Linked DNA regions of Mus musculus: regions 2, 3, 4, 5 and 6 are each reported to be linked to region 1. The links are microRNA targets in miRTarBase. Many come from high-throughput screens and were not tested one by one. Region 1 holds a microRNA gene; each other region holds the end of a gene's coding sequence. Distances are between the middles of the regions.
What was found. Region 1 holds the annotated microRNA mmu-miR-9-5p (UCUUUGGUUAUCUAGCUGUAUGA, at 2,322-2,344, opposite strand). A microRNA usually pairs through its seed, bases 2 to 8, with sites in the 3' UTR of a target mRNA and lowers its output. Matches are read on the target gene's strand: a 7mer-m8 pairs with bases 2 to 8, a 7mer-A1 pairs with bases 2 to 7 and ends in A, and an 8mer does both.

Region 2: miRTarBase lists Hdgfl3 as a target of mmu-miR-9-5p. The part of its 3' UTR that is shown has no 7-base or 8-base seed match.
Region 3: miRTarBase lists Ptbp2 as a target of mmu-miR-9-5p. Seed matches in the 3' UTR shown: 7mer-m8 at 3,126-3,132.
Region 4: miRTarBase lists Specc1l as a target of mmu-miR-9-5p. Seed matches in the 3' UTR shown: 7mer-m8 at 1,074-1,080.
Region 5: the mRNA of Flt3 is a reported target of mmu-miR-9-5p. The part of its 3' UTR that is shown has no 7-base or 8-base seed match.
Region 6: the mRNA of Zdhhc7 is a reported target of mmu-miR-9-5p. Seed matches in the 3' UTR shown: 7mer-A1 at 1,657-1,663.

The regions. Positions count from the first base shown.
Region 1 is chr3:88,212,884-88,217,956 of GRCm38, reverse strand. It overlaps Mir9-1 (microRNA 9-1), which reads right to left and starts at 2,359; the gene lies at 2,271-2,359. All of the region lies in intron 2 of Gm3764 (predicted gene 3764), which reads right to left. Mir3093 (microRNA 3093) reads right to left here and starts at 2,786; the gene lies at 2,700-2,786. Gm25641 (predicted gene, 25641) reads left to right here and starts at 2,287; the gene lies at 2,287-2,344.
Region 2 is chr7:81,881,419-81,886,486 of GRCm38, reverse strand. It overlaps Hdgfl3 (HDGF like 3), which reads left to right. Exons shown (of 6, transcript NM_013886.4): 6 at 404-5,068. The coding sequence ends at 409. It overlaps Tm6sf1 (transmembrane 6 superfamily member 1), which reads right to left. Exons shown (of 10, transcript NM_145375.4): 10 at 2,408-3,272. The coding sequence ends at 3,081. Among named protein-coding and RNA genes, the nearest start is that of Tm6sf1, 25 kb to the right of the region's middle.
Region 3 is chr3:119,716,215-119,721,275 of GRCm38, forward strand. It overlaps Ptbp2 (polypyrimidine tract binding protein 2), which reads right to left. Exons shown (of 14, transcript NM_001310711.1): 12 at 4,575-4,791; 13 at 4,393-4,470; 14 at 2,528-4,243. The coding sequence ends at 4,114. Among named protein-coding and RNA genes, the nearest start is that of Ptbp2, 65 kb to the right of the region's middle.
Region 4 is chr10:75,309,515-75,314,587 of GRCm38, forward strand. It overlaps Specc1l (sperm antigen with calponin homology and coiled-coil domains 1-like), which reads left to right. Exons shown (of 16, transcript NM_153406.3): 16 at 276-2,886. The coding sequence ends at 365. Among named protein-coding and RNA genes, the nearest start is that of Adora2a, 4.8 kb to the right of the region's middle.
Region 5 is chr5:147,326,951-147,332,023 of GRCm38, reverse strand. Flt3 (FMS-like tyrosine kinase 3) reads left to right here. Exons shown (of 24, transcript NM_010229.2): 24 at 719-1,283. The coding sequence ends at 853. Among named protein-coding and RNA genes, the nearest start is that of Urad, 7.0 kb to the right of the region's middle.
Region 6 is chr8:120,078,491-120,083,563 of GRCm38, reverse strand. It overlaps Zdhhc7 (zinc finger, DHHC domain containing 7), which reads left to right. Exons shown (of 8, transcript NM_133967.3): 7 at 204-334; 8 at 848-2,469. The coding sequence ends at 1,024. Among named protein-coding and RNA genes, the nearest start is that of Zdhhc7, 20 kb to the left of the region's middle.

The DNA.
Region 1 (5,073 bases):
ACCCCAGCTCTTTTCTGTGGTTTTGCCTGGCCACATTCTAGCATCCCCAGTGTCCCAGCTGAGTTTCCTAGCACAGCACACATCCTTATACCAATCCACACAGGCTGCCTCCCTCTCTTCACCCTTAGGCACATGGACTTCACAAAGGGCACCTGCTGCCCTGCTGAGTACCGTACACATACACAGTCAGTGTGCATCTAAAGAAGACATGAACCCTTAGCAGCCTAACCTCCTAGCCTCTATTCCTCCTTTTCCTAAAGCCTTCTACTCTCTTTTGAAGAGCCTGTGATCCAATGTGCTCATGGGAAACAATAATATAAAACTACTGTGGTTAGCAACTGAGACTCTAAGTGTTCCTGGGAATATGTGGTGTGTGTGTGTGTGTGTGTGTGTGTGTGTGTGTGTGTGTGTGTGTGTGTTTAGGGGGACTCTAGGATGCCCAAGAACTTGCTGTGTAGACAAGGATGACTTTGAATTCTTGATCCTTCGTCCTCTACTTTGCAACTGCTCAGATTATAGGCCTGTGCTATGATAGAGGGCTGTGTAGCCCTGGCTGTCCTGGAATTTACAGTGAAGACACTATACAGGAAACATTAAAGATGGTAATGATAAGGAAGCTTATTTTATTGATGCCCCTCCTCTGCCCATGCAAATTCCCAATAACAGAGAGGCTTCCCTTCTTTCTACTTTCCCAGTTGGCTCCCTTGGGGTGGGGAGTGTCACTTTCTCCAAGACAGAGTAAATGGAAGGAGCTTTGAGTGTCAAGCCAGTGAGTAATGTCAGCTGCTCACTTGTGCCTGTGTAACATGGGATCACATGGCATCTCTCAAGCAGCGGAAAAAGAAAACAGGCTGTGGCCAGACCATTAGTTCCAGCCTAGACCCAGCCTCTTTTCTCCTTGACTTAAGCTTCATCCCCACCACCCCTACCAAAACAAAACAAATTCCAAGCTTCTGGAATTTAAGAGGCCACTCGACTCTCCCTCCCCTAACTGCTAAAGAAGACACACACAGGCAATAGATTCCCTGAAGTCCCAGAATTTGAATTTGGATTCTCTAATATTTCCCCCCATGTAATACAAAATTGAATCATTATCTTCTAACTGTAAAATCAGGTCCCGGGAGGAAATTTTAAATTTATAAGAACCAGCGGAGTCTGGGTGATGACATTTTGCCCAGTTTTCTGCCTCTTATTAGTCGGTACAGCCCAGGTCTCCAAGTGCCAGCTGGTCAAGTTCGGCTGAGGGCCATGAGAGCAGAGGGGATTCCTAGCTCTGGCCATGTTTGTTAGACCATCTTCTCAGCTGTAGAAACCCTCTTTCACTAAAATATTTAGGTCAGGCAAGATAAATAGATTCTTTTTACAGGAGCCCAAATTAATCTCTCTAATTCTTTGCGTTCTCTGGGCAGCACAGCTACACATTCCTTTGTGTTTGAGCTCCACAGAGCTCCTTGAGGCCATTTGTTCCTTTGGGACACGATTTCCAAGAGTGAGGTTAGGACCGAAAGGTGGGATGCTCTAAAGCCCCCCACCCCAACTCTACACCTTTAGCCACTAATGACAAAGCAGCCAGAGAGAGTTCAGTTAGACTTAGCTCTGGTCCTGAAGGCCAAAGTGAAAGCAAAGAACCTGCGCCCCAGGGTCCCAGAATTCCTGTGGGGTAAAAAGGTCTCTGGCCACTCTGGCCCTTGCCCTTGTGGTTACTTTGTTTCTGCATCGCCATTCTCCCTAATAAGTTCGATGTGTGTGTTGGTTTTTAAGCCTTCCCCGCTCCTAGACCTGTTCCCACCTGGGCAATCTTGACTCCCAGTAAAGCTGAAGGGCTTCAGGGAAACCACCAAAGCAAAAACCAGCTTTCTAGAGACATCCTACGAACCTCGAACTCCACCAGTCGCTTCGAAGAGCCAGAGGGAAGCTGCTCACACCAGCCACCCGCTCCCGGGATGCGTCGAGACCGGGAGAGGGATGCTTGCACTTTCCCCCCAACCCTTCAGCCAAGGGCTCTGTCTCTCCCGGGAGCGGCTTCTCCGGACTGAGGCCCAGACTGCTCCATTTTGACCAGGCCTCCAGAGGCGACCCCAGAGCGGCTTCTTGCTTTCTTCCCAGGTGAGCAGGTTGCGGGTGGGGATCGCGAGGTGGCTCGGGCTGAGCAACCTTTGAAGGCGACGAGTCCCCCTCCCCCCAGCCCTCCAGCCTCCAGGCACGCCTGGCACGGCTCTCCCTCCTGCAGCTCGGCCACTACCAGCGTTCCAGGCCCTCTGCGCAGTGTATGGGGTTATTTTTACTTTCGGTTATCTAGCTTTATGAAGACTCCACACCACTCATACAGCTAGATAACCAAAGATAACAACCAACCCCGCCTCCTGGCCGCCTCCTCCTCTTCCACGCAGCCTCCCGGCCACCGCCTGGACCTCCGTAGTCTCGAGTCGCTCGACGGCGGATGGGGGACGCGCGTGGTGTGGAGGCGAAAAGATGGGATCCAGGACCTCACGCACTATCACGACGAGACCTCAGAAAGGCGAGGAAAAGATGCTACCGCCGACGGTTCTGAGGTCGGGAATCTAGGCTGAAACCAAGCGGCCCCAAGCCTGACCGCCCATTTCCCACTCCCTCCTCCGTGCAGAAGCAGGGTTCCGCCGGTGCTAGTGGAAAGGCTCCAGGGCCTTCGTGCCATCCGGGAAGACCGCAGAAGCCTAGGCCGAGGCCTCCCCAACCTCCCACGGTGTCCACACCCTTCTCTGGAAGGTCGAGTGTGAGCTCCGCGGGGTGCGGCAGAGCCGAGCTCGCAGAGCTGCTCCGAGCTACCGACTGCAGGGGAGCGGCCGCGAAGCCCCGGACGGGAACCCCAGCACTGGGGAACCCCGAGGCCCAGAGGGAAGCCTGTGGCTGGCGGCGGGGTGGAGGGTGATCTAGAGACTCCCCAGCGACTCTCCCAAGGGCAAAGACCCCACCCAGAGAGAATCGGGCGAGCAGTCAGGACGTGGGGCTGCGGGTTAGGGCAAAGGGTGACCAGGCAGGTGCTCCGAGCCCTGGACCTACGGAACCGCGCGGGAGCCGGTTTTGTGCAAAACGCAGCCGAAATCATTCAGAGATGTGAAATATGCCACTGGGGGTCTGAGTGAGAGATGCCCTTAGTGGCTGGAGGGGGCTATCTGGACTGAACCCACTGGAAGGAGGTCCAGGGACCGTGCAGAGGGTGTAGAGCTCCGTGGTCGCAGGTGGCGGACGCGCGCGCTGGACTCTGAGGCGCTTTCCCCACCTCGTGCCCCACGCGGGTCAGGCCACTTACATCAAACCCAGGATGCCCAGTGGTAGTGTCCTGCGCGGTCTTCAGGCGCGTTCCTACCCAGGCAGCGCCACGGACGTGGGTCAAGGATGCCGGGGCTTGCCAGGTAATGGGGCCGAGCGAGAGCCAGCAGGGTGGAGCAGGGTCTCGAGTCCCAGCTCTCTCCTCAGCCTTGGCCGCTGCTCTGGCGGGGGCGCTCTCAGGCTCCGGACTTTTCATTCATCCCTTCACACTCCTTCCTCAGGTCAGCCCCTGATTGGCTATACCTGGTCTGACGTCACTGTCTCGTTTCTTCCCCCCCTCCCCCCCAGCCTTTCCATGCCCGACCCCCTCCCTCCCCAGGCCAGTCCAAGACGTGCAATTGGGGTGCCCCTCCCCCAGAGAATGGGATCCAATGTCTTTATGCCAATCCTTAGTCTTTTGCTGCCTCATCTACAACCCGCCTGCCACGTCTATAATCCATTGCCAATTGCGGTTCTGATGGCCACCTTCGCTCTTCTTGTCGATCTTACATTTTCCTTTTGGGCTCTACGGTACATTGCACCAAGACCAGCACGCAAAAATAGAAAATAAATAGGGCAAAATTCCCTCAAAGAGAAGAGATCTGTAATCTCAGCACCAGGAGGTTGAGGCAGGGATGCGGACTGGAGACTCTATCTCTGACCCCCTCCCACCTCACCCCACCGTTAGAGTCTTTTTGAGTTCTAATTCCTCCCAAACTGTGATCCTAATATTTAGGAGAGGCAAGGGTCTCTTTTGTTCAAGGTTTTCAACTCAAACCCTCACTGAAGGGAAGACTGTGCAGTTTGAGTCTCCTGCTATGAGACAATGGGCGAGCAAAGGGGGCCCTCTTTTCTGCATTTCAGGGGAATGTTCCTTGACCCTATCTGCAGATAACCACAGAATCCTAGCTGCTTTTGAGACTCAGAATTTGGCCAAGTCCTGGAGACCTTTAATAGGTCTTTCCCTCTACCCATGTTCCTCCAGGCTCCCAGGCATGCAGTGCCAGCTCTGGGTTCGGTTCCCCAAGGAAGATGCCTTTCAGGCAAAGCTCTGTCCCCGTCCTCAACTTCCTCCACCTGGCTCTCAATCCAGTCCAGCCAGAAAGGTCCTTTTCTCCACCAAAGAAGCAGAAGCAGAAAAGCACCGGGGAGTAGCCAGTTGCTGTTGGGCAACATCTGGGTTCTAGGTACATCGAAATTCTCAGAGCAACCATGGGCCCCAGGAGCTGCTCTGTGTGCCAGTGAGCGGTCCCTTCATCCTCCTACTTATCCTCTGCTGGGTCCCTTCTATAAAACTGGCTGAGATGCCTAAATCCTGCTGGTCAGATTAAACCAGCCAGTTCCTGTAACCAGGGACCCCTAAACACGGAGTCACCAGCAGTCCATTTAGGGGACTATCACTTTAACCATTGGGTCTGTCTATCTGCTAGTCCCATGAATAGCCCAAAACAAAGCCAGACCTGTGGACTGCTTATCTTGCTTAGATGGAAGGTGGTGGCTAATAGGTTTAACTTAGTGCTTCTCACCCAAAACGGAGTATGTCTGAATGTTCATTGCTATTAATGCTGGCTGCATGGCTGTGGGTGGGGCCAGCTTGAGATGAGATAAAACCCACAAGATGTTTCCCTACCAGAAGGATGATAGCAAGCAAATAGCCTTATCTCTCCATGTCTTGGGGCATTCTCAGGACCAGGTTTAGCCAGAATTTATTTATTTATTTACTTATTTATTTATTTATCTGTCTATTTATTTATTTATTTTGAATCTCCCTCTCTTTTCTTTTTT
Region 2 (5,068 bases), not on the chromosome of region 1:
AAGTATTGTGAAGGACAGTCTGCGTGCACCCAGATGGCCTTCAGCTTATACTGCTCACCCCGGTCAGACAGACCACCTCTCTTAGGAGTGTGGTGGGCAGCAGCAGTACTCACCTCCTTGAGTGGTACAGCATGTGCCACTGCCATAGCTTCCTCCACTGGAGAGGCAACAGAGGTTACCCCTAGGGTTTGTCTGGTTTTGAACAGGATACTAACGTAGCGTGTCAGTGTTTAGTTGATAGAAAGCAAAGCCTCTGACGCTGTTTCGTTAAGTACTGCTGCTGTGATGCTGACTCAGACTGCAAAGGACAAGAACCCAGTGCCCACAGGGTGATGGTGATGAGCTTCCCTCGGTAGTGTCCTAGCTCATCTAAGGCTTGTTTTATTTGCTTTTTTTTTTACAGACCTAACTACCGTAATGAATGCTGCATATTGAGAGACACCACAAGAAGGTTAACTGTTTGATTGTCTAATTCTTGGATTTGGATTTGATATGAACCAACGGTCTTTGTTGTCATTGACAGAGCCCCAGTATGTGTGTGCATTAGTCACATTCCTCTCTGTTCTGTTGAAGGAAAAAGAGACATTTTAACCCTTTTAAGGTTGACTTTATTTTATGTTATTTGGTTGCATGAAGTTGCCCTTAATCACTAAGAATGATGAAGATTTTGCAGACTTCTCTGTGTCTAGGCTCCTTTTCCAAGTCATCAGCTTCCTGCCTCTCTCCCACCATCATCAGATACTCAGCTAAACAGTAATTCATATTGTTAGGTGACTGCTCAACATAATACTTCAGGATGGGATTTTCTTTGTAGCAGAACCCAAGAACCAACTCCTAGATACATACTGTTGGTGTATTGGAGATGAAGTTAGAGTCATCTTTCAGTTTTAAGGCCATGTGTAAAGTTTAACCATATGTACAATACCTATTCTGTATTAGAAATAGCTAGTTGAAACTTAATACTTCTCAAAACTCATGTTCCTGTGTCCACAAACTAAGTTTATATGTGAACTTACTGAGTCTTTTTGTGTCATACCAAAATAAAGCAAGGACTTATTTTTTTTCCCAAAGCCAATACAATTTGAGCCAATCCCTCAAGATGGTCACTTTACACTGAAAGCTGAGCTCAGCAGGAGCACTGTGGGAAACAAAGCATTGACTCTTGAGTACAGAGTTTAAAATAGACTTTTCTTTTAGAACTAGAATTAGAGTAGTTAACGTTCATCCGCCAACCATTGTTACGTGTGCATTACTGTCGCTCTTGTGGTGATAGAGTCTTATTTATTTTTATGCCAGCTTATACTGTGAGAACTCATTAGTCAGTTTGGGTCTCATCAACCCTGCTATGCTTGTCCTTGGAAGATCTTTTGTGTGTGTTTGAGGTTTGTAGCTGAGAAGTTTACTGTAAAAAAAAAAAATCAAAAACAAAAAAATGTATTGTTTTTACAGAATAAATTTATTGGAATGTGTACTGGGAGTAAGGTTTGAGGTTATAAACAGCCGAGTTAGTGTTATTTGGCTTCATATGTGTAATGTGAAGTATTAATGTGTTTCTTGTATTATAGCAAAGATTGACAGCAAATTGACATTAGAATTAAGTGCAGGTGAAAATTTTATTTTTTCTATCATGTTTCTTTTTAAGTATTCTGGATGTTAGGTTAAGTGAAAGCCGTGGGGGGACAGGAGGGAGCAACAGCAGGAGCTGCAGCAGCAGGGGCTGTCTGCACGTCTGCGACAGCCCAGCTCAGGGGACCCTGCATTTACACACAGCCTTCCGTGCATCCAGTTTGCTTTTGGTGTTCTTACTGTGTTGAAGAACTAATGAACGTGAAGAGAAAATAGAAGAAGACCTAAGAGCCCAGTGTCGTTGTGAAGATGGAGGTGATGTGGGGCTCTGGATGCACTGGTCTACTCACCCCTCCCTCCAGGACATCACTGTCCTTTGGGCTTGCTCCTGCCGGTTAGCAATCAGTGGTCCCCTGTTGTGCTCACGCAGTTCCATGTATGGAAAATTCATTAAGAGACAGGCTGTTAAGTCAGGGTTTTTTCTTTAAAAGGTACTTTTTAATTTTAAATATTTTAGTTTAAAATAATGAAATTTGACAAAAGATCTCTTCATTATCATGCAAAACATATGGAGAATGTAGATAGCATTTTTAAATTGGAACATATAACAAAGGTTTTTTTGTTTGTTTGTTTGTTTGAGGCAGGGTTTCTCTGTGTAGCCCTGATTATCCTGGAACTCACTCTGTAGACCAGGCTAGCCTGGAACTCAAAAGATCAGCCTGTCTCTGAATCCCAAGTGCAAGGATTAAAGGCGTGTGCTACCACTACCTGGCACAGATTTCTTAAATAAAAAGTTCAAAATTTGTCATGAAAATGTATATATAAAATGCTTCAAAATTAATAAAGTTTATCTTCATAAACACCAAAAATAATTTTATTGAAGGTATACACAGTATTGAAGGTATACACAGAAACACAAGAGAAATATTATCAACCAATAAAACAAGTGTTCATTAAGGCAACTAATAAAGTTGATTTGTGTCATCTTAGCTATTCAAATTCACAATAGAAGTTTTGACAGCAATTTTTAAAATGGCAATAAATAATATGCTTTCCTTGTGAAAACACTTGAATCAATTTAAAAATATTGTGATGATCTGGCATTTATATTAAGATTGTCAACAACTCATACATTTCATATGAAGCCATTTCTCCAACCTGCAATTGCTGTTTTGAATTATTTCTTATGCATAGTATGGTTAGTTACTTCTGAATAGTTTCATTTTTATGCTTTTTGTAGGCACTAGAGTTGTAATTTTCACACATACTATGTGCAAACAATGCTAAAATCAATGGTCACATTCATAGACAAATGGTGATATATTTCCTTAAAAAAGCTGTTTCTCAACTTTAATTTTCTTTCAAAACTGAGAATATACCCAGATACTACCCTTAGTTTCACTCACATGTATGCTGCAGAACAAGTGTGTTCTTGTGAGTATTCCTGTATGGAGGGGATAAAGGAGAGCGCCAGTCCCATTAACAGGTCAGAGAGAACTGTGAGGTATGTTTGTTTATTCCAACTTCTCATCTGCCTTAGTTCTTAGGAAGAACTCGGGATTGTAGGTACAACGGTAGGCCAAGAGCTGAGGAAGAACTCCATATGCTATGTTTAGTGCTAGAAAAAAGATTTTCGCTTCTTCGGGGACTCTGTAGACATAAGCAGTTCTAGCATGAAGGGACGCACCAATGTGAGAAAACTGAGCCTGTTTATATTAAAACAAAACAAAAAAACAGTAAGGATGAGCTCTGTTCACTTGGATTAATGATGAATTCTGAGTGTCTCATTCAGACCATGTGCCCTCAAAACCTGTCTTAAAGGCAAAATACCTTTAGGTAATCCAGTCTTAATATATAATCTTTCACTAAATTTAAGGTTGTTCTTGATATAAGTATTCAAATAATGTATCCTTCTTAAAGTGTGATTTTATTATTCCAGTTGTGTATTTTTAACCTATCCTGTGCCAAATAACAAACAATACTGGCTCAATTCAACAACAACAACAACAAAATCTCCCCCTCTTTCTAATTTGAATCTTAGGAACACTAACTATATAGACACTCAGCAAGGTCTCACAAATTGGGTTTGAATTACAAATGAAGTTGGGTTTTAACATTTAAGCTGTAATTAGTATGAGGAGCTACTTTAGAGAGAAGCACTAAGGGTCTCAGACCAACCACTGGATGCCAGAGCTCAGAGACCATCACATGTACTGCTTATTCATCCGTGTGTTTGGTTTTATGTAACTTAATAGCACTATGATTGTTTGTAAGGTAAGCTTGTTAATAGCTTGGCTGTGGATAGCAATATGATTATAAAATGGCAAATATATACACAGGCAGCCTTTCCAAATCAGACTGAAATCTACTTAGAATTGTGACTGGTCAGCATGTTTGAAGTTTCAGAACAGAACAGCAAGGGCTCCCTCTGTTTACATGGGATAGTTTATAAACTATTCAGAATGTGCCAGTTGAATTTTGCTTGGCTCATTTGTTTTTTGTACTTTTCATAAGCACAGAGAAAAACTATTAGAAAAGTAATACAGGCCATAGCAGAATTGAAAACCGACAGAGTATTTTTCTCAGAAAACTTGTTATTATAAAATGCAAACCCCAAGTCTGCACTTTTATGTTTGCCTGAAATTCAAGATACACAGAAATAAAGACTAAAGATTTAAATGTAGTTAAATGGCAGATTATCAGTATACTATGATCAAAGTGAGACGATAAAGGATCCTGCAATCTAAAGAGACAGAAGTAACAGTGAATCACTAGAGAGTGTGTTCTTAATGTATTGTTACCTTATATGTCCTTCCATATGATCAATTGAGAGTGCTAAGTGCTAACAGATAAAAGTGCTACTTGGCATTTGATGTGACCTTGGCAAAGAAAAGAGCATGTTTAGGAATTTGTATAAATGGCAGATATTTTAATGGGCTACAATTTATAAATTACTGATATATTCCGGATACTTTTACTACTCTGGAAATAAAAATTAAATTCCTGATGTGTGTTGACAAGGACCAACAAGTGGCTTACCCACACTGTGATTCTCCTCGGGCACTGAGAAGGTTCTGCCCGCAGACACACTCCCTAGGGCACAAAGCCAAAGGCCCAGCAAATGAGTGCATCTCAAGGCTACACAGACAGAGTCCTTGAGAATAAAGGGCACTTTGGAAGCTGCCCAGAAGAGACACTGCTGTGAACAGTCTGGGGACTCTGGCAGAAGCCTTGACTCCTGACACTTGTTCTCTGGGCCCTGCTTTAGCTGTTTTTTTGAACATACAACAATTTTCTTCTGGACTAGAGGCCAGTTTTGAACCCTGGTTTTGTCAGACTTGTGGGTTTAGTGATTCTATCCTTAGAGATTATTGTGCTCATCATAAAATGACAGAAAAATACTACCCACAATTCCCAAGAATAAGTAACATGAGCAGCTGGGTGTACCTATATAGGTAAACCTGTATGAAAGGTCAGTGATTGTGTGGGCCCTTCTCTGCAC
Region 3 (5,061 bases), 32 Mb from region 1:
TTATCAGTGAGTGCATATCTAATGACTTCTTTTGTAAATAAAGAAAAATCTAATAAAAAAAGAATTAAAAAAAAAAAGATGGGAAAGAGGTAGGAAAGGGGGCAGGCAAGGCAGTGTACACTCAGCAGAGCCGAGTGGGCAGCTCTGATGCATGCTGCTCTCTCCATCTTTACACACTTGTTTTTTACTTTGAATTACTGATAATGTAACTTTAAAATGTACACTACTCACAAAATCAAACTACGAAGATAACCTACAGGAAATAAAGTCTATGTAAGACTTCTTAAATGACTATGTCACGGAGACTGACAACCAGCCAACACTCCAATACCAGTTTAATAATTTTTCACATTTCTTATCAGACTTTCTAGAAAGCAGTGTTCAGCTGAAATAGAACCCTTTGTGTGCTCAATTTCATGAAATAATTCTATATTCTTATGCTCTGAATGGAGACCGATGTTCCCATCTTGTATAAAGTCCTGGGTTACTCAGAAAATTATGCCGTTTTTTCCATCTTATGCTGGAAAAATCTTTAGTATGGTTAGAATTATCTTCAAGTTTCACAGCAAATTGTAAAGGCTTATACATAATATAAGCCTTTTATATGGAGTCTGTAACTCCAAAAAGCTATACTTTATTACTCAACTATCAAGTAGTTCAAATGAAATTTGAGGCTGGGCATCCTTGAGCTGTGGGATGCATTCTGTCATGGCACTCTACTGTTAAAAAGTAGCATTTAGGTGATTTTAAAACATTAACAAACATTTCTTTGCAACAGTAAGAAAGACAGTGGGACGATCTGGAGTGTTGATAACTACAGGCAAACCTGGCAAGGTAGGAATACTGGCACTTAACATTTTTTTGCTTAACACAGAGTGCCACAGCTGGGACAGCCTACCCTTCCTGCATCAGCTTCCTGAGTACTGGGTGTAACTTTATGGACTCCATTTTACTTTTAGACTTAGGAAAATTGTCCTTCCTCTGAAACTATACATCTGGTAGTTTAAACAGATACATATGAACTAATTATGCCAATTAACATAGTTTCTTATCCTAACCTTAAAAACCTCAATATTGCTAATAAAATTTTTACCGATTTCATAGAACTCTGTTACCTTCTTCCTGGCAAAGGTCTTAGTGGATTTCATACAAAGAAATAGGTGTCCAACATAAAATGTAATCAATATGAATCAATCCCCTTCTTATGTAGGTGATTTGAAATACATTGTCAAAAGCAAATCTTGTTTATTAAAAGAAAGTTTTTCTCTCAATTATAAAAATTCAATTTATTTGTTTCTAAATTCCCAAGAGAAAGCTTTTACTAACAAAGCAGCTGAACACTGAAAATGCTGTAAGGTTAGCTAGTGTGAGAGACTGCGGCAGTGAGCATAACAACATAAAGCAACAGGACTTTTACCTCATGTTCTTTTGATAGAGTGCTATTCTAATCTAATGCACTGAACTTTAAGAATTCTAGATGTCAAACTTCCCACTTCAATATCTTGATACTTTTAAAATAAGACCATATTGATGGAAATTATTAAAAGAGGGTAAAGCCAGCCACACCCTGGATGGGCAGGAGGTGGGGAGGGACCTTGCTCTCTGTCATTAGAGAGCGATCTGGAACTCCTCCCAGTGTCTTAATGTAGCCTAGAACCTTGTTTTTCCTTTTAAGCAAGTGTAACCTACAAATAACTACCTGAAACAAAGAGCAACATCTATTTTCAAGTATTGGAGCCTCCATGCAATCCCAAAGAAAACCACACACAGTTCTGTCCCAATGCTGGTTGTAAACTAACAGAATTAAGGCATAGCTGATCTTCCTGTACCTGGTCACAATACTGCAACATCACTTTAAAAACAAACAAACAAACAAACAAACAAGAGCAACACTCAAATTCTTAACTCTGAAACGGAACCATTCCTACTTACTGTACTTCTTGGAGTTGAGTAGACTCTTGTGAAAAGAACAATACTTTTAAACATGATTCTTCATTTTTATAAAATGACCCTAATGTCCAGTGTGTGACTTTGAGGTATACATGTATTAACACCAAAGTTAATTGATACCAGTATTTGTATATATAAAGTTACCAAAAAAAAAAGAAAATAGCTTGATGACAGCATCAGTATAAAGAGTGAGGAGGACAGCACCTGCGGTTTAAAAGCCTGCATGTATATACCCTATGGCACTCAAATAGAAGCCAATGCCATAGTCCTTTCTTTCCAGTAACAGCAGAACCCTTTGTTAAAACTCAGTAGTAGTCTAAAATTAGTAGGAAATCTAGAGCAGACACAAAGATGAAAGATGAAACTGCAGCAAGAGAGCATGGCAAATCCAAAAGACCTATTAGTGCATAAATCTACGGGAAAACAACAACAACAACAAAAGAGATAGAGAGAATTAACAAGCTACAATAGAAGTTATGTCTTTAAAGCAGATTATAAACAGGGTGGGAAATGTTTAATATGTGTCCTCCTGAAAAAGCAGTTACCGACTTTTGCATTAAAAAAAGGAACAGCTGGTGCATTTTCACAGCATCTGGATTTATTTATGGTATAAAGCCATAGGATTGTGATAGTATTACTCCTTTCCCACCCTGGCAGAGTAAACATGAACTCAGAAGCACAGTGGAGTGAAAACAAAGGAGAGAGAGAAAAGGCAGCAGAGAAAGACAGAAAAGGTGAATACAGAGCTACAGAAGTGTTTATTGAGCATGCTACAGAGGTAAGCAGAGTACACACAAAGTGAAATTAAACAACCATCAAACCTCCCAACTTTGTTAGAAAATTAATTTTTAATTGTGCCGCTTTCAAACTATACTGAATTTTACATTTCTAAAGATGTAAAAACTCAACTAATAGAAAATATACATGACCATTCTGTCTACATAGATAACAGAATCTATGAATCTTGAAACTAAGTACATCAATTTCAAAAAGTATTGGTCATTTAACAGAATCAACAATTCAGATTGACAAGAACTGTTCAAATAAATTTGACCTGTAGATTCTGAGCCATGTTTTTATTAAAGTCAGATCTATTCCTAAATACAAAATATTTTGAAGATTTATTAAAACTGAATATTACAATGCAAGGTAAATTAAGACTAAAGGCACATAAACTTTGGTCCCACCTGGTTGTCAGTTTTAGAAAACTGCCACAAAATTAATCTTCCTGCAAGTTTTCGCAGTACACTTTCTTTGTCTTTGAAAAATACATGCACCAGTTCCTGAACTAGCTAGACCAGTCTGCACATGCTCAGAAATCCACAACCATTTTCCAAATCTTAATTACAAACTAAGGATGGCAATATATATTTAAATGCACGTAAGTCATGTCAACTTCAAAAACATCTACGAAAAATATTCAGCCACAAACAAGACATTACTTAGTGCTGACATTTATATGACACGTCCCACAAGAGTGTGTACAAAAAGGTTAAGGTTCCACAATGCTTTCCACATAGGGCTCAAACTTACAGAAATCACTTGTCTTAAGAAATTAATACTCTGCATCTTGTTAATTTTAACTAATGCCTACATTCATAACTGAATCTAGACCAGATTTGTGAGATACAAAAGGCCAATGTTTTCAAAAGCAATAAAGCCTAAGATAGTAAAAACTAAAAATGCTGTTTTATACTCTCAGTATCAAGTATCTTATTAGATTAAATAGAAAGAAATGTGATAAGCCAATAATTCAAAGAAAGTTCCAAGCAGGAGAAATAAAAACTTAACCTTTTGACACACCCCTGCCCAAACATATTTTAATTCCCACATAACGATGTGCCCTAAACAACCAATTCCTTTTTCCTAGTAAATGCAGAATAGCAACACTAGTTTTCCTTTGTAAGGCACGTATGTCAACTAAGTTGGAAAAAAAAAAAAAAGCAAAATTAAACTAAAAATTTAAACAGACAAAAATGGCTTCCCTATTGAACAGATGAAACACAGCAGTTAGCAACTCTGCCTTTACATATGCCATTTCATTTTATAACCAAGGAATGATAACAGCATGAAAAAAATCAAACTCTGGTCCCCACTTTTCTGAACAGTCAATAGGTGATGACACCAACAATGGGATCTGCCCGCCATCTTCATCTCCCGTGCTTAGATTGTTGACTTGGAGAAAGACACTCTCAGATGATGGTTTTCTCCAAGGTTATAATTATGAAGATCAATCAAAGCCTGAATAGCTTCCTCCACTGTTGCCATCTGAAGAAGAGCCATTTTGTGATCTCTTCTGAAACAAAATTATGAAATTAGATACTTCATAAGAAGAGTTTAAACACTGATTTTCACCCATTTGAGGTAAATAAATAGATATATTTGAAAAAAAAATTTAAGTTCTATCAAGTCACACATTTTAAGACAAAGAAGCTTGCTTACTGAAAAAACTTAAATGCTTTCACAGTGCCCCCGGTGTTGGCAAACAGAGTTCGCAGATCCTCTTCTGCTACAGAAGGGCTAGAAAAAGAAGACAGGGAGAGTCCAGATGAATACAGATAACCATAGACCTGCTTGGCTGATAATATGACTGTGCTCAGTCATGAGCTGAAATAGATACTCACGGGATGTTAGACAGGTGAAGGGTAGCAGAAGGAGGGAAAATGTTCTGAAAGTTTTTGGATCCCGGTTTTTTAAAACGGTGCAGTGGTGAATTCCCAAAATCTTTTGTTAGCCCTTGATCATCAAGTCCCTCTCGAGGTAGTTGCACAGTCTGATGTTTAGAGAGAGTAACACGAATAATTTTTCCATACATCTTCTGCCCATTAAGATGATTCATGGCTAGGAAAATAAAGAATACCTATTAAAATATCAAAAGTTTAGGATAAAAATACTTCTAATTTGGAAATTCTGAATTTTCTTACAACTTAAAAATCATGAATTTATTACCATTTTTTATTTCTACTAGACAAAGTATTGCACCAAAAAACTTCCTTCATTGAACAAGAACAATGTCTACAAGCATCTACTATAAGAATCCTGATGATGAACTGGATTTTAATGGCCACAAGAAAAATATAGTTGTCATCCCTCCTTCCTGCTGCTCGGCTT
Region 4 (5,073 bases), not on the chromosome of region 1:
CCTAGAAAGTCTGGGGAGAGTTTCCACTTGATAAGCTGGGGCTGGGGCAGAGAGGAGACCCTAGTGGCACAAGAGTGTGACTTGGAATGATGATTCTGATACTCAGGAAGGAGATGCTCACAGGGACCTTTGGAGATAGAGCAGATACTGGAGACCTGTCCTCTGAAAGAGGCAGTGCACCTTAGACTAAAAGCTGTCTACTGCTTATGGGACTAGAAGCCCATTGGGGTGGCGTGGGAGGGGAAATAAGTCCTAATTGAGCTCCTTCTCCACAGGACATCAATGAAATGGCGCGTACTGAACGGCCCGACTGGCAGAACGTCATGCTGTATGTTACAGCCATCTACAAGTACTTTGAAACCTGAGCACACAGGAGCGGCTGATACCAGCTAGGGACCTCTGCAGTCACCAAGTGACACCAACACCATTAGCTAGAACTCCTAAAGCTTTCAGTGACTCTGGGTCTCCCTGCAGGGAGTGTGCCCAGCTCTAGGCCTCTGCATTGGAACTGGAACTGCAGGCCAGGGCTCTTCCGCATGGCCGTCCTCAGGAGCAGAAGTACAGCACACCGCCAGCCTACTTCCAGAGACCGTCCGGCTCCACCAGGGCCCTGGAGTGCAAACAGCATAAAGGCTGTGCCCGGCCGGGCTTATCTTGGGAAATGGGATTAAGTTGTGGGAACCATGGGTTAGTGAAAGCTTTAGCCATCCAACTTCTTGACTATTATCCACGTGATTCCCAGTGGTGGGACAGAGCTGGCTTTGGTCCCTTCATGTGGGCCTGGGTTCTAGGAGTGTGTCAGAGGAAAGTGTCAGTACCCGTTCCATGGAGAGGACCGTCCTAACCACTGCACTTAGCTTAGGAGTGTTAAAACCCTGCTTATAGGCCCACAGCTCGTTGAGTCTACACTGCCACCAAGTAGGTTTTTGTCAGCAGCAAGACGCAGGTGGCACACTCAGTGGGTGCTCAGCCACTTGCCTGTAACACCAGGGAAAAGACTGGTCACAAGGAGTTCTCCTCATTGAAGTTGTTGTTTTATTATAAGCAATATTGGTGAAATAGCTCCTGTTAGTACCAAAGTTAATCGTTTCAGTAAGCATAGAACTAAAACACAGACTGGGCATTAGCATGTGAGAGGGAGGGTTCGTGCAGTAGGGAAAGGGGGGTGCTTTAGGGAGCCAGAGATTCAAGTTGTACTGGTGGCTGCCCCTCCAGGGCAGGAGTTAAGACAGTGCCTTAGCCCTGCACCAGGACAGCTGAGCCTACACCCACATGAGGATCCTGTGTGCTGATTGGGACTCCAGGAGAAGTGGCTCTACGCTGTGCCTGGGCTGTGGGGCCTATATCACGAGCCAAGGCCTTACCCGGTTTGTTGATTTCTGGCTGGAATTTAGCAGCCTCTTTTCGAGAATAGGAAGCCCTTATTTCATGTGCCTGACACAGAAGCTGTTGTTTGAACAATGTCAAGACCTGTTGCTCCGGGATACACTTGTTTGTCACCTGCAAGGCACCATGTGGAAGACTGGCCATCAATAAAAATGGGGCCACAGCTTCAGTAACAAGATGGATGGTGGGAATGTCTCCCAGGAGGCATGCCAGGCCAAACATGGACTGAGTGAGGTTCTGTATTCAAGCATAATGCTACAGACTAGGAATCTGTTGTATCTATGGAACGTAGAGAAGGAAGCAATTTGAAAGTAGTTATTGGGAAGTGGGCCGTGTCTGTTTGTGTTGCCATCAGATGGCCAGTCCCACCCCTCCACCCTGCTTAAATGTCCCAATCTGGCAGCTTATGCTGCAGAGTGTACCAGGAGACCCTATTATTCTGTCTGCCCAGTGCCTCTCTGGCCCTCCTTGGCCCAGTTCTGTTCTTGTTCTTGTTCTGCTGATGAACTCCGTTGGGGTGACCATTGTGTGAAAATGACTGTTTCCAAATGAGTCTCCACTGAACTCCTCTGAGCTTCCAGCCTCTGCTGTATTTGCCTTCACTGAGGCCTTCCACTGTGCACCAAGGTGGTGGATCTGAGGCCAGGTTTTATTTATTATCATGAAAAGGGGTTGTCTTGTTAGAGACTTTCCTGGGCTTGCAGTTCACACCTTCTGTCCCCTGCTGGCTATGTGATCCTCATGGCAGTGTGGAAGTTGCCCGAGTTTTCTGAAAGGATTTGGAGTAAGTCAGCTGCTGCTGAACGAGTATGTCCATGTAGAGGTAACATTCTGTTTTGGAATCTGTGGGCCTGGGCTAGGCCTGGAGCCAGTGCAGGGACAGACAGATGGTGGGCTAGACCCTCTCACATGCACACACAGACTGGGTGTCTCACAGCCAGGGCCAGGCTGCCCACATTTGTGTGAGGGTCCACAGTCAAGTGCTGTCTTCAGACCACTGCTTTTTGCCTTCTCTAATAGGCCACTAAAGAGCACTGTTGACCCTCTGGGCATGCTTGTAGATGGCCATGTGCTATTAAAAGTAGTATTTGGGAGTTCTTAGAGTGCCTGTCTACAATGCACGAAGCCCTGGGTTGATCCCTACCACCACATACACTGAGTGTGGTGCATACCTGTCATTCTAGTACTTGGGGAAACGGAGGCAGGAGGATCATGAGTTCAGTGTTACTGTTGATTACACGGTGAGTTTGATGTCAGCCCTGGCATGTGAGACCCTGTCCGCCAAAAGGTGATATTTGGAGGTTTTCTTGTTCTGGGGCTGTTTCCTGGGAAGCTCTAAGATGTAAGCTCGCCTCTTCCTAAAGCACAAGCTTCGCTACAAAAGGGCCAGCTACCTTTCTACTGTTGTCAGTCACAGGCTTCTGCCGATGAATGACACTTTGTCATTTTGTTCTAGTAAATACTCTTGAATGTAATAAACTGTCATGCGTCGATTTCCTAGTTTGTTCTCCCTCCCTGCTGTCTGTCTGACCTTACACAAACCAGAGCTCTCACCCTCCTGTGGAACTGGAATGGAAGGCATGGATGCACCTGCCTCAGGGTCACATGCTGTGTGGGCCCAGGCAGGTCTGGACAGAAGGAGAGGAAACGGGTGAGCCCAGAGGTTCCGGCCTGCCCTGAAACCACGTGGTAACTGTGGCAGTTCTCAAGATGCCATCTTAGAGCCAGCATGTCCCACAGCAGAGTCCCGGCAGAAGCAAAGCCTCCAGCAGAGCCTACACGTTTGATCAGGAGGGCCCAAGGATTTTTATTTTGTTTTCTTTTTATAAATGTTAACTTCTTAGAGTTGAGTTTCAAGGTGTATAAAATTACAGGGGTGGGGTTTCTACCAAGAGGCAGCTATATAAGTAATTTTCCCCTGTGCATCCTTTTGTTTTAGTGCTAGGGCTCAAACTCAGTAGGACCTTGCACATAACATACACGTACTGTGCTTCTGAGCCATACCCCAACTCACTGGTACTTCTTGTGTGCGGTGTTTTCAAATCCAGAGTGATCAGGCTAGATAATGCTGTCTTTCAGCTTTGCACGTATCACATGCAGAAAGAAGTCTGTGGGCTTACCACCTGCACTCCAGGCATCCATGATAAGCTGCCTGGGCCTGCTACTCTCTAGGACTTGGGGTCCTAGGGAGTCCAAAAGACTCCTGCTGGCCTGAGTTTGAATATGAATATGTTCTCAGAGTGCCCACAAGCCATGACCTCTAGAGAAGCCAACACTCCAAGTACCCAGGACAACCCGTGAGTAAAAGTAGCTGTGCTGAATTCTTGGAGCAGTCATGGCAGAGGCTGGACAGGGCGTGTTTCAGCCCTTCCTCAGTATCTGGACACTGGATTTGTGTCCTAAGCAAGACAGTGAGAACTTGATGCATGGTGAGAGGAGTGCTTGACCCTACCTGTTGCTCTCTGGTCTGTCCCTGAGACAGCATGGGCCCCCTCAGCCCTGCCCACTGCATGTCATATGCTGACCCCGAGGGGCTCCTGTGTAACCCGGTTTATCTGCTGAGAGTCCCACAGTGGTACTTCCTTATCAGAGACCTGTTAGTGCCTGTCCCAGCCAGTACCTTGATGAGGGGCTGGGAGCCGGGGTTCAGCACTTCTGTGAGAGACAGCTCTGTTAGAAAAGGAATATAGGTTCCTGGGAAGAAAGAGGTAACTAGAAAGTTCCTCAGACCCCTGGACCTATAGCCTCTGGGAATCAGGGCACCCAGCAGCCAGCTCTTGCTCTGTCCTGACAAGGGTAGCACTTCCCCAAGTCTCGGGCGGGGGGGGGGGTGTTGCTGAGGTGGGGGCTGTATTTGTATCCCTCCAGTGGGAAGTGGTCAGATGTGAATGGTCTCAGTGCGAGGCAGCCATGTGAGGGGGAGTCCCAGGCTGCTGTGACTCTGTTCTGGTAAAAGTCTGACAGCAGCAGGTTGGATCCCCCAGCAGGCCACGTGGGGATAGAGAGGAGGAGGCCACACTTCCAGGGGATGGATTGGCATGAGGGTGGATCAGAGGCGCTCGGTTTACACAAATCAGCCTGGGAGGACTGGTCTTTGTCACAAACATTCCTAGAGAGCGTCTACCTTGTCCTGTGTGAGGAGGGACAGCAGGGTCTCTGCCATTTGGGAGCTGAGTCCTATAAAGAGGGAGAACAAGATCTCAGGATGACTGCGAGTAGCTGTGCTCCGCATGCAGTTCTTGCATGGGCTGGACCCCCAAGGTCGTCCTCAAGGTGGACCCCAACATTTGGGATATGCTGGAACTGTTGTGACCTCTGCAGAACCCCACTGCCAGGCATCCTGTCATGTGGAGGAGGCGTACTGGGTCCCAGGACTGGGGGTATGGGGAGCACAAGGAGGAGTTCAAGACCATCCTTGGGGGTGGTAAGTGGCAAAGCCTTGTTAGGAGCTACGGAGTGCTGTCACATTCCATCATGGGGCCAAGCAAGACAGCTGCACACACCTCAGCTGTTTTTCTGTCTACAGTACCACATCAGATATAGCTCCAAGGCTGACTACTGGCCAGCTTCTCTCACTGGTAAGAGGTGTAGGATGGAGTTCCCATAAGGCTACAGGTTGGGAGGGCCTGCCCTCCTGTCTGCCGTGCCTTGGATTCGTGCATACAGCCCCTAGGAGCCATACGTTGG
Region 5 (5,073 bases), not on the chromosome of region 1:
CGAGATCTGACTCCCTCTTCTGGAGTGTCTGAAGACAGCTACAGTGTACTTACATATAATTAATAAATAAATAAACAAATAAATAAATAAAAATAAATAAATAAATAGATTTAGTCTTAAAAAAAATGAGTGGCTGCTGTTTCAGAATAAAACAAAACCCATGGAGGGGACTGGACAGATGGCTCAGTAGTTAGACCACTGGCTGCTCTTGCAGAGGATCAGGGTTCACTTCCCAGTAAACAGGGTAGCTCACAGTCACCTATACCTCCTATTCCAGGAGCTCCAGCGCCCTCTTCTGGCCACTGCAGGCACTGCATTCAAATACTGACAGGTGCACACTTGCGCACATAAAGTAAATAAAACTTCAAAACAAGCCTGGAAACTACCCAAATTCATAGTTTTATATTTTTAAGATTATTTTACTTTTCAATTACATGTAGTAGTGTATACAGGGACCCTCAGAAATCAGAAGAGGGTGTTGAATCCCCTGGGGCTGGAGTTACAAGCAATCGTGAGCCACCTCACATGGGCTCTTAGAACCAAACTCAGGTCCTCTTCAAGAGCAGCAGGTGTTCTAACCACTGAGCCATCTCTCCAGCCCCTAAACTCATATTTCATGATCTGTATAAAAGTAAGGTGTATTTAAGTACTGTGCTTTCTAGGCACACGGGCGAGTCCTGCTCAGCTGGTCATTCTTGCTGCTTCTCCCCCTTTCCAGATGTATCAGAACATGGGTGGCAACGTCCCAGAACATCCATCCATCTACCAAAACAGGCGGCCCCTCAGCAGAGAGGCAGGCTCAGAGCCGCCATCGCCACAGGCCCAGGTGAAGATTCACGGAGAAAGAAGTTAGCGAGGAGGCCTTGGACCCCGCCACCCTAGCAGGCTGTAGACCACAGAGCCAAGATTAGCCTCGCCTCTGAGGAAGCGCCCTACAGGCCGTTGCTTCGCTGGACTTTTCTCTAGATGCTGTCTGCCATTACTCCAAAGTGACTTCTATAAAATCAAACCTCTCCTCGCACAGGTGGGAGAGCCAATAATGAGACTTGTTGGTGAGCCCGCCTACCCTGGGGGGCCTTTCCAGGCCCCCCAGGCTTGAGGGGAAAGCCATGTATCTGAAATATAGTATATTCTTGTAAATACGTGAAACAAACCAAACCCGTTTTTTGCTAAGGGAAAGCTAAATATGATTTTTAAAAATCTATGTTTTAAAATACTATGTAACTTTTTCATCTATTTAGTGATATATTTTATGGATGGAAATAAACTTTCTACTGTAGAAATGTTGGTTCTTGTTCCTTTGCGTGAACTATAAGCTCATGGCCTCATCTGTATGTGAGATTTCCTGTTTTTCTGTTTGTTTGTTTGTTTGTTTGTTTTTGTTTCTCTTGAGCAGGTGCATTCTTGGGGGATGCTTGGTGTTGTTTGGTTTTGAGACAGGATCTAGTTATATTGCTCAGGCTAGCCTCAAACCCGAGATCTTCCTGCCTCTGCCTCAAGTCTTGGGGTTAACGTCATCACACCCGACGAAGGTCAGCTCTTCACCAAAGTGTTAAAGCATCCTGAGCCGACCAGGCTGAGGACCGCGGGCACCACATCTGATCGGTTCTCCCATTCCCTCCTCATTCGCTTCTGATCTTTTGAAACTGAGCAAGCTCCAGCCCACAGGTTTATAAACTCGCCTTGCTTTGTCCCTTTGTACGCTGGACACCACTGAGTTCTGTCCTTTATTTCTTTGTTTTGTCCTATGACAGGGTCTCATGTGTCCCAGGCTGGCCTCAGGTTGACTGTGTAGCCGAGGATGACCTGGACCTTCTGGTCCTCGTGTTCCCACCTCCCGAGTGCTGGGATCCCGGTGTGTGCCACCATGCCCGGCTTCGCCTGATTCTTTAGCTAGCCTCTTTGCCATCTAAGTCAGAGGTTCTCAACCTTCCTAATGCTGCGACCCTTTAATACAGTTCCTCATGCTGTGGTGACCCCCAACCACGAAATTATTACATTGCTACTTCATAACTGTAAGTTTGCTACTGTTATGAATCGCAATGTAAATAACCTGATGTGCAATGGCTAGGGAGTCACGATCCACAGGTTGAGAATGCTGCCCTACTGTGTCTCTTAGCTGCTGCAAGTTCCGTCCCCCTAAGCATTGACTTGGCATGTGGTATGGTATGGTGTCTTGTAAGCACCAGGTCTCTCCATTGATCCAGCTTCCACCCCTCTGCCTCTTTGCTTCTTTCACCCTCTAGACACTAGCTGCATAATGTTTTCTCTCTAGCCAAAACCGCCTGGATGGTCCTGGATGTGTCTGGGCATTTCCCAGCCCCCTCTTCTGCCTCAGTCTCTGTCTCCATGCCCATCAGGAATAGCTGCCTCCGTGGCAACCTGTGAGATCTTCTTGTCTATATCATTAGGTTGTCTCTGCACAGACAGCCTACCTATGTGATCCTGTAATTAGCTTTTGTGATAATGTCCTCTCTCTTCTCTCTCTCTCTCTCTCTCTCTCTCTCTCTCTCTCTCTCTCTCTCTCTAATGTATTTGAGTACAGTCATTGTCTTCAGACGCACCAGAAGAGGGCATTGGATCCCATTACAGATGGTTGTGAGTCGCCATGTGGATGCTGGGAATTGAACTCAGGACCTCTGGAATAACAGTCAGTGCTCTTAACCGCTGAGCTATCTCTCCAGCCATGTCCTCCCCTTTAAGCTGGAGTTTGAGCCGTTGGAAGGTGGATGTGATTTGGGTGAATCCAAACACTCAGCTCCAAGGAGGTAACAGACATTTGGTTACTCTTAGCCTACTCATGTAAAAGCATAATATATGCTTGATGGCAAACATTCAGCTAATATTGTTTTTTATTTAGGTAAGTGGTGGTTAGTCATGTAACAAGCGTTGGAACACCTCTACAGCTGAGCTCCGGTTCAGGTGTATCTCTCCTACCTTCCTGTCTGAATGTATTCCTACGGCACACACATGAGCATGCGCAGACGCACAGACATGAGCATGCGCAGACTCACACACATGAGCATGCGCAGGCGCGCGCGCGCACACACACACACACACACACACACACGAGTGGCAAGGGGTGGGGGGTGCAGGATGCAAATGGGAAAGAAGTCTTTGTATTAGTTACCTTACTGTTGCTATGATAAAACAGACCTTGGCTTGCTGCAGACTCTTGTTTACTGTTAATATTGCTGCTGAGAACATGGTATGGAAATTGGAAATACCCCCCATCTCTCTCTGTCTCTGTCTGTCTGTCTGTCTGTCTGTCTGTCTCTCTCTCTCTCTCTCTCTCACACACACACACACACACACTTTTAAAAATATTTTATTTTATTCTGAGACAAAGGTTTTTTTGTTTGTTTGTTTTTTGTTTTTGTTTTTGAGACAGGGCTTGTATAGCCCTGGCTGTCCTGGAACTCACTCTGTAGATCCCCTGCCTCTGCCTCCAGAGTGCTGAGATTAAAGGTGTGCCCCACCACCACAAGGTTTTGTTATGCACCCCAAGCTGGCCTTGAACTCGAAATCCTCCTCCTTGGCCTCCTGAGGTCCTGCACTGCTTCTTCACATTGGCCTTCACAGCTGTCTCTGTCGCTTACCCCTGAGAATCTAATGTGGAACCCAAGGCCAACTCTCAGCCTCCCAGGCACAGCCGAGTGGTTTGCCAACGTTCCTTCTCTCTCTGTTAGCTACCAATGGTCTTTCTCGCTTTCTCTGTCTTCTCTGTCTTGATGGAATTGGAGGAGGCAGAAGAGATACAGGAATTTGCAAAGCCCCTTGAGCTACTTGTCGTGAGATGTGTGTTGATAGAGCAAGGCAGAATAGTGATGTGAGCTTACCCAAGCCTCTTCCTTCTTTCAAAGTGATTTTGCCCAGGGCATGTGCACATTGTGTCTGTGACATCCCTCTGGATGGAGCCAAACACACAGTCACATCTGGAGTCAGGTCCTTGTGTGCAGCGTTAAAACCCTCAAAGGACTTCATTTCCACGGAAATGGATATTCTCTTGTGGGTTTCGTAAAAGTGGTTTTATAGCCTTAATACTACCAAATGCTTCTTTTAATAGCATAATATTGGGGCTGGAAAGACAGTTAATAGTCCATACTGCTATTGCGGAGGACCTGAGTTCAATTCCTAGCACTCACAACTGGGAGATCACAGCCTCTGGCAACTCCAGTTCTGAGGGATCTGACGCCCTCTACTGGCCTCCATGGGCACTGCATGCACGTAGTGCATACACACACTCAGGCACATACACATAAACATAAAATACATAAATTATTCTTTTAAAAAGCATAATATTGACTTGTTCTTCAAAGATGTATTCATGTTATGCAGTGATCATCCCTAATCTGAAATACTAAAACCCAGAATTTGAGCTTGATGAACATCCGCATAATACGTCACACACACACACACACACACACACACAGAGAGAGAGAGAGAGAGAGAGAGAACTCGATGCCTGGCCTCCAGTGAACAGACGTTAGAATGAAGTGAGTTAAAATTATCACATCAAGTTACCACCAGGCTGTGTACATAAGGCACACATGAAACATTAACTGATCCTTTAAATTATATGTGCAAAATTATTCCAGTCATAGCAAGTTTAGTCTGGTTCCTGTCACTCCAGCCAAGGGGTACTCTACCTGCCTTACCCCAAGCTGACATTGTCCATATTGCTGATGTCCTATGAAAACACACTCCTTGACCACCATCTTCAAACTAAGGACATTTGAATATGCTTCTGGGCTGTGTCGGGTAGAGGTTTGGAGCATCTCCTTCATAGAAAGTGAAGTCAGCAGAGGTGGAAACTTAAGGGCTCGTTGGAAAGTCAGTGGTGCGGGAAGGTGTTTGCTAAGGCAGACACGTGAAGGAATATTTAGCTGAAGCAGACACAGGAGAAAAGGATGTTCTGCTAAGGCAAGCATGTGATGAAGGATTCTTTGCTAACAACACGCATGCGTTAGTCCATCTTACGTTGTGTAGCTCTATTTGTCCGGAATCTATAGAGAGAAATGCACCAAAACAAAACAAAACAAAAAACAACTTCTGGTGGTGTATTGTGGCTTC
Region 6 (5,073 bases), not on the chromosome of region 1:
TGGGTATAGGGGTATAGTCCCCAGTGCGGTAAGGGACTTGAGGGGAGGGGAGATTGCCAGCTGGCAGGGATGGGGAGGCTGTGTGCCAGGCAGGGCTGTGTACCAACTTCTTCAGCAGGAGGAACTCACTCCTAGGAACTGTGTGCGGTCCCTGCAGAGTAGGGCGGTTGCACACTGAGTGCCTCCCTCCCGTCTGTCCGCAGAGTGCAGCGACTTCTCTCCTCCCATAACTGTAATCCTGTTGGTCTTCCTGTGCCTTGAGGGCCTCCTGTTCTTCACCTTCACCGCAGTCATGTTCGGCACCCAGATCCACTCGATATGCAATGATGAAACAGTGAGTTGTCCTGTGTCTTCAGGGGGCGGCAGGGGCACTGTCAGCGGCAGCAGCCCATGTGGACTTGTGGTACCTCAGACCTTGGGCCCACAGGCCTGTGTATGCTGCTCTCTCCATTGGGGCAGCATAGTTCCTGGGCCCAGGATTGGTTTAAGTTGGTAAAGTAGGCAGGCTCCTGGTCAGAACTCAGTGGGTCTCAGAACCGTGAAGGTGTACCCACTCTTGCAGGCCTGGAGTAGGCGTTGCCTAACTGCAGATGAGTAGGGACGCAGCGTCGGTCCCCGTCCCCCCCCCCAAGAGGCCACTGGGCCACAAGAGCCATGCCAGGTTGGCGTGGAGGCTGACCCATGCGGATGGTGGCCCCCCCCTCCCCCTGGGCCACAGGCTGACTGTTTGCAGCACACATGTGTAGCCGTGTGCAGCCACAGTGCAGCACGCCGTGTGTAGCCGAGTGCAGCCACAGGCTGACTGTGGATCTCTTCTCATTGCTGCTCTGGCTTCTTCTGCTCCCAGGAGATCGAGAGGCTGAAGAGCGAGAAGCCCACGTGGGAGCGCAGGCTGCGGTGGGAAGGAATGAAGTCTGTCTTCGGGGGCCCTCCCTCCCTCCTCTGGATGAACCCCTTCGTTGGCTTCCGACTCAGGCGGCTGCAGATGAGGACCAGGAAAGGAGGCCCCGAGTTCTCTGTCTGAGCCTTCAGGGTGGGAATGTCTGCAGACATCCGTGCTCAGTGGCCTGCGTGCACAGCAGCCTTGTGGGCAGATGGAGCGGGCCAGCTGACGGGGCCATGAGCGGCTTCATGGACCACAGGCCACAGGCACTTGTCATTTCTCTTGTGTACTGCCAGGAGAAGCATGCAGTCCCGGGAGGCCATCGTCTCACCATCCTGACCCTTGGGATGTCGCGTGGGCACCCACGGGTGGAGTTGCTTCTCAGTCATGAAGAAAGCCAGCACAGCAGCGCTGGGAGTCCTGCTGGCCCATCCCCAGCGCACCCCCTTACCCGAAAGAAGGGGTTCCACAGAGACTCTGCCTTGGAGGCCTCTGACACCCAGCACTGAACAGTGAAAGCAGCTTCCAGAACACTCCCTGCTGCCCCGGAACGGGCATCCTTTGACCCTTCCAGCAAGTCTGTGTGTGCTCATCCTTGTGTGTCTGTGTGGTGTGTGTGTGTGTGTGTGTGTGAGCATGTGTCAGAGTCAGCAGTGTCGTTGAGGCACGTATGTGGTAGACAAGCTGTCTTTCAGACTCCAGTGTTTCAGGGAAGTGGGACGCACTGCTGGCCCTTGCTGGCCTACTATGAATGTATCCTACAGTGTCCAGATCCAAAGAACAGGCATGCCTGTGCATGGGCCCGGCCTCCTGCTTTTATTTCACTGAAAATTTAGTGTTTGAGGGCGTGGAGCTGAGGTTTTGTTGTTCCAGCCAAACTGCAACTGCAACAGTCTCTCAACAGGGAGAGTGGTAGCCCATGCTGAGGCCCAGCGCTTTGGGGCAGGGGCCATGAGGAGCTCAGCGTGAGAAGCCACCTAGGGCCCCTTGGGGCAGGTGCTGCAGGGTGAGACAGCCTGGTGCCTGAGCTGTCAGAGTGGTGATATGTGACTATTTCTCTACCCATGGCACCGCAGTCAGTGGAGCCTTGGTGCGGGCTTAGAATCCCGTCAGTACACAAACAGCTCCCCTCAGGGGATTTGCCTTAACCGCTGGTTGTTGCTTTGCTGCTGGGTGAGAGCAGTCTGACAGAGTCTGGGGACTTCCTGAGAGTCTTCTCCCATGCAGACACCAGTGTTTCCCTTCTGGGACCAGCTGCCTTTCTGTCCCTGGGACACCATGACTGTTCTTTCGGTGTCAGTTGCTTGTGCCCTGCCCTCATCTGGGCTCCTGTGCTACTGAGGTGACCCCCAGGGACCTGAGCCGAGCCCTCATGCAGCGAGCAATCTCTGGGGCCCAAGTCCCTGCAGAGGGACATCGAGGCCTCAGATTGTCTCTGCGTTCCTTTGCACACGTGTCTGGGCATGTAGGCTCTGGCGGTCTCACCCTCCAGTGTGGAGTCTGTGCGGTGAACCCAAGCTGAGTATACTTGACTTTTCAATTCCTCAGTGTGATTTTATATGAAATAAAGTAACCCGTCCACAGTTCTCACCCTCCTGCAGCCCTCTTCTTCCTGGGTGACCTGCCTTGCTTTTCCAGGAGCTGTTGTGTGCCTGTGAGGGGACCTAGGCATCTGGGTACAACTCCTAGTGTCACCTGGGTAGATGATGCCCTAAGACCCCTTAACTTTCCCTTAATTAACTAGGGAATTTTTAAAATGTGCTTTAAAATAAAACTGGCTCTAAGCACACGAGCTGCTGACCTCCTTCAGCGCAGAGGCTAGAACCCAGGGATGTGTTGTCACACCTTGGCAGCTAGTCTGTCAACTGACGGAGTCTGTCTCAAACACAGGAGCAAATCAGTACTGGGGAGGCAGAGGCAGGTGGATCTCTTAGAGCTTGAAGCTAGACTGGTCTACATAATGAGTCCAAGAACATTAAGAGCTACATAGAGAGATTCTGTCTCTAAAACAAAACAAACCCTGAAGAGCCTCAGGCATCCAGTTTTCTCCCTAAAGTAAACAAATTGACCATGACCTCCCAGCATTCACATAAGGTGGCTTATGGCCATCCTAAATCTGGCCCTAGGAGACTGGACACCCTTCTCTGGCCTCTACAAGTACCTACATACACATTATTTTAAAAAAGAAAAAGCAAAAACAACAACAAAAAAACCCACCTTTGCATGAGAAGGAACCCAAAATGGCCTCTTCATCTGCACAGCCTTGGGTTGGGGCAGGGGAGATGTACCCATACCACCTTGTGTGTGTGTTGGGGGGGGGGTGCCATGGCCCCAGTGCAGCTCTGAGCCTGCCTGAGCCCAGGGACAAAGACTAAAGGTGAGTGGTGAGCCCACAGCCTTGTGGCTGCTTAGATCGGAGGGGCGGGCAGTCTGGGCTGTGGGAAAGGCATCAGGGCCAGTCTCCTAGCTGCTCAGGTGGCTTTCTAGAAAGTCTAGGAGGCTATAGAGGAGGCTGTAGGGATGCACCCACACAGATCACAGGTGGCTGCATTGCTTTACTTCTGGTAGCTTGGGACTGGCTACCTATGTCCCTCTCCTTGGTAGTACACACCTTCATTGTGCAGTTTAGACAGAGTGGATATTTTGTTACTCAAGATGAGAGGTCTATGGCTAAGTGGGACCTAGCTTCCCTTGGTCAGGTCACCTTGTCCTCTGCCCCACCCTTTTTTTACCTCTGGACACCTCTCCTGGTACAGCCAGCTGTCCCCAGACTCCTGGATTCAATCTGCTTGAGAGTCACACCATCCAGATCCCTGTAACTGGTGGTGGTAGTGGTGCACTTGGGAGGCAGAGGCAGGCTGATCTCTGTGAGTTGGAGGCAAGCCTGGTCTACAGAGCAAGTTCCAGGGTATCCAGGGCTACACAGAGGAAACCTATCTTGAAAAAGCAAAAGAGAAAAGATGGCTGTAAAACAGCCATCTTGGGGCTATGTTGTCCCCAAATCCTCAGCCCACTTACCTACCAGCCCCCTCTGCAGCTCTCCAAGGGCTCCACCTACATAGTGACCTTGAACTTTGCTTGCCCTGTCCTGTGCTGGCCCCCTGGGGGTCTTTCTCTACCCGACTTGGTCCTGGGAAATGTCTAAGAGCACACCTGCCTCTGCTTTCTTCCCTCTGGCTTGTGAGTCAAGTTTGGGGCCGCCTATACTCACCATTGCCTGCCCCTCCTCCGCAACCTTATTTTCTTTTGTCATCTTCCAGAACCCCCTCAGCTCTGCCTTCCAGCTCTTCTCATGCGTTTTGTTAATCGTCTTTAGACAGGGTGTTACTTTGTTACCCTGGCTGGCCCGAACTTGTCGATTAGGCTGGGCCCAAACTCACAGACCCACCAACCTCTGCCTCCCAGTGCTGAAATTAAGATGTGCACTACCCCGAGCCCAAGGCAGCTAAGAATTCCAGTGTGGCCCAGGCTCCTGCCTCCATCCTTCAGGTGCTGGGGTTACCATTGTCCGAAACATCTTTTCAGATGTCTTTTTGGGGCTTGTGACAGTTTTCAGACCCCAGAGCTTATAGTGTTCTGTGCCACAGGGCAGGGCATCTGGGGTCCGCTGTCGAGGTAGCACCAGCACAGGCCTTGGCTTCGTCCTTGTCCTCTGTTTCCTTCTTCAGTCCTACACTTTCTGGCTGCCGCTGCTGGTCTTCCTCAAGTCCTGGAGTAGGACGCCGAGGGGCCAGTGGGCAATGAAGACCCTCAATTTCCAGAGTAAACCGCCTCCCCCCTCTATGTCAAGGAGCAGAGCCCTGGTGCCTGACATCTTTTAACCAAGTCCTCCCAAGCCACTTCATTCAGAAACTACAGGAGGGAGGGTTCCCTACTCCATGAGAGGTAGCATAGCCAAGACCGCAGGCTCAATGTCTTCCCAGCATGCCCTGTCGGGTTGAAGGCATCATTCTAGACACTGCTCAGGACACAAGTAGGACCGTGGCGCTCACTGAAAACATGGCTCAGTTGGTAAAAAAACAAGAACCCGTGTTAAAACAAAAAAGCCCCGCTGGCCGTAATGGTACCCAGAGGAAGTCTCAGCAATGGGGAGGTGGATCCCCGAGGCCTGCTGGCCCCCCAGCCTCATCTACTCAGGTAAGCCTCAGGACAATGAGGGACCCTGCTTCAAAAGCAAGATGAAGCCGTGA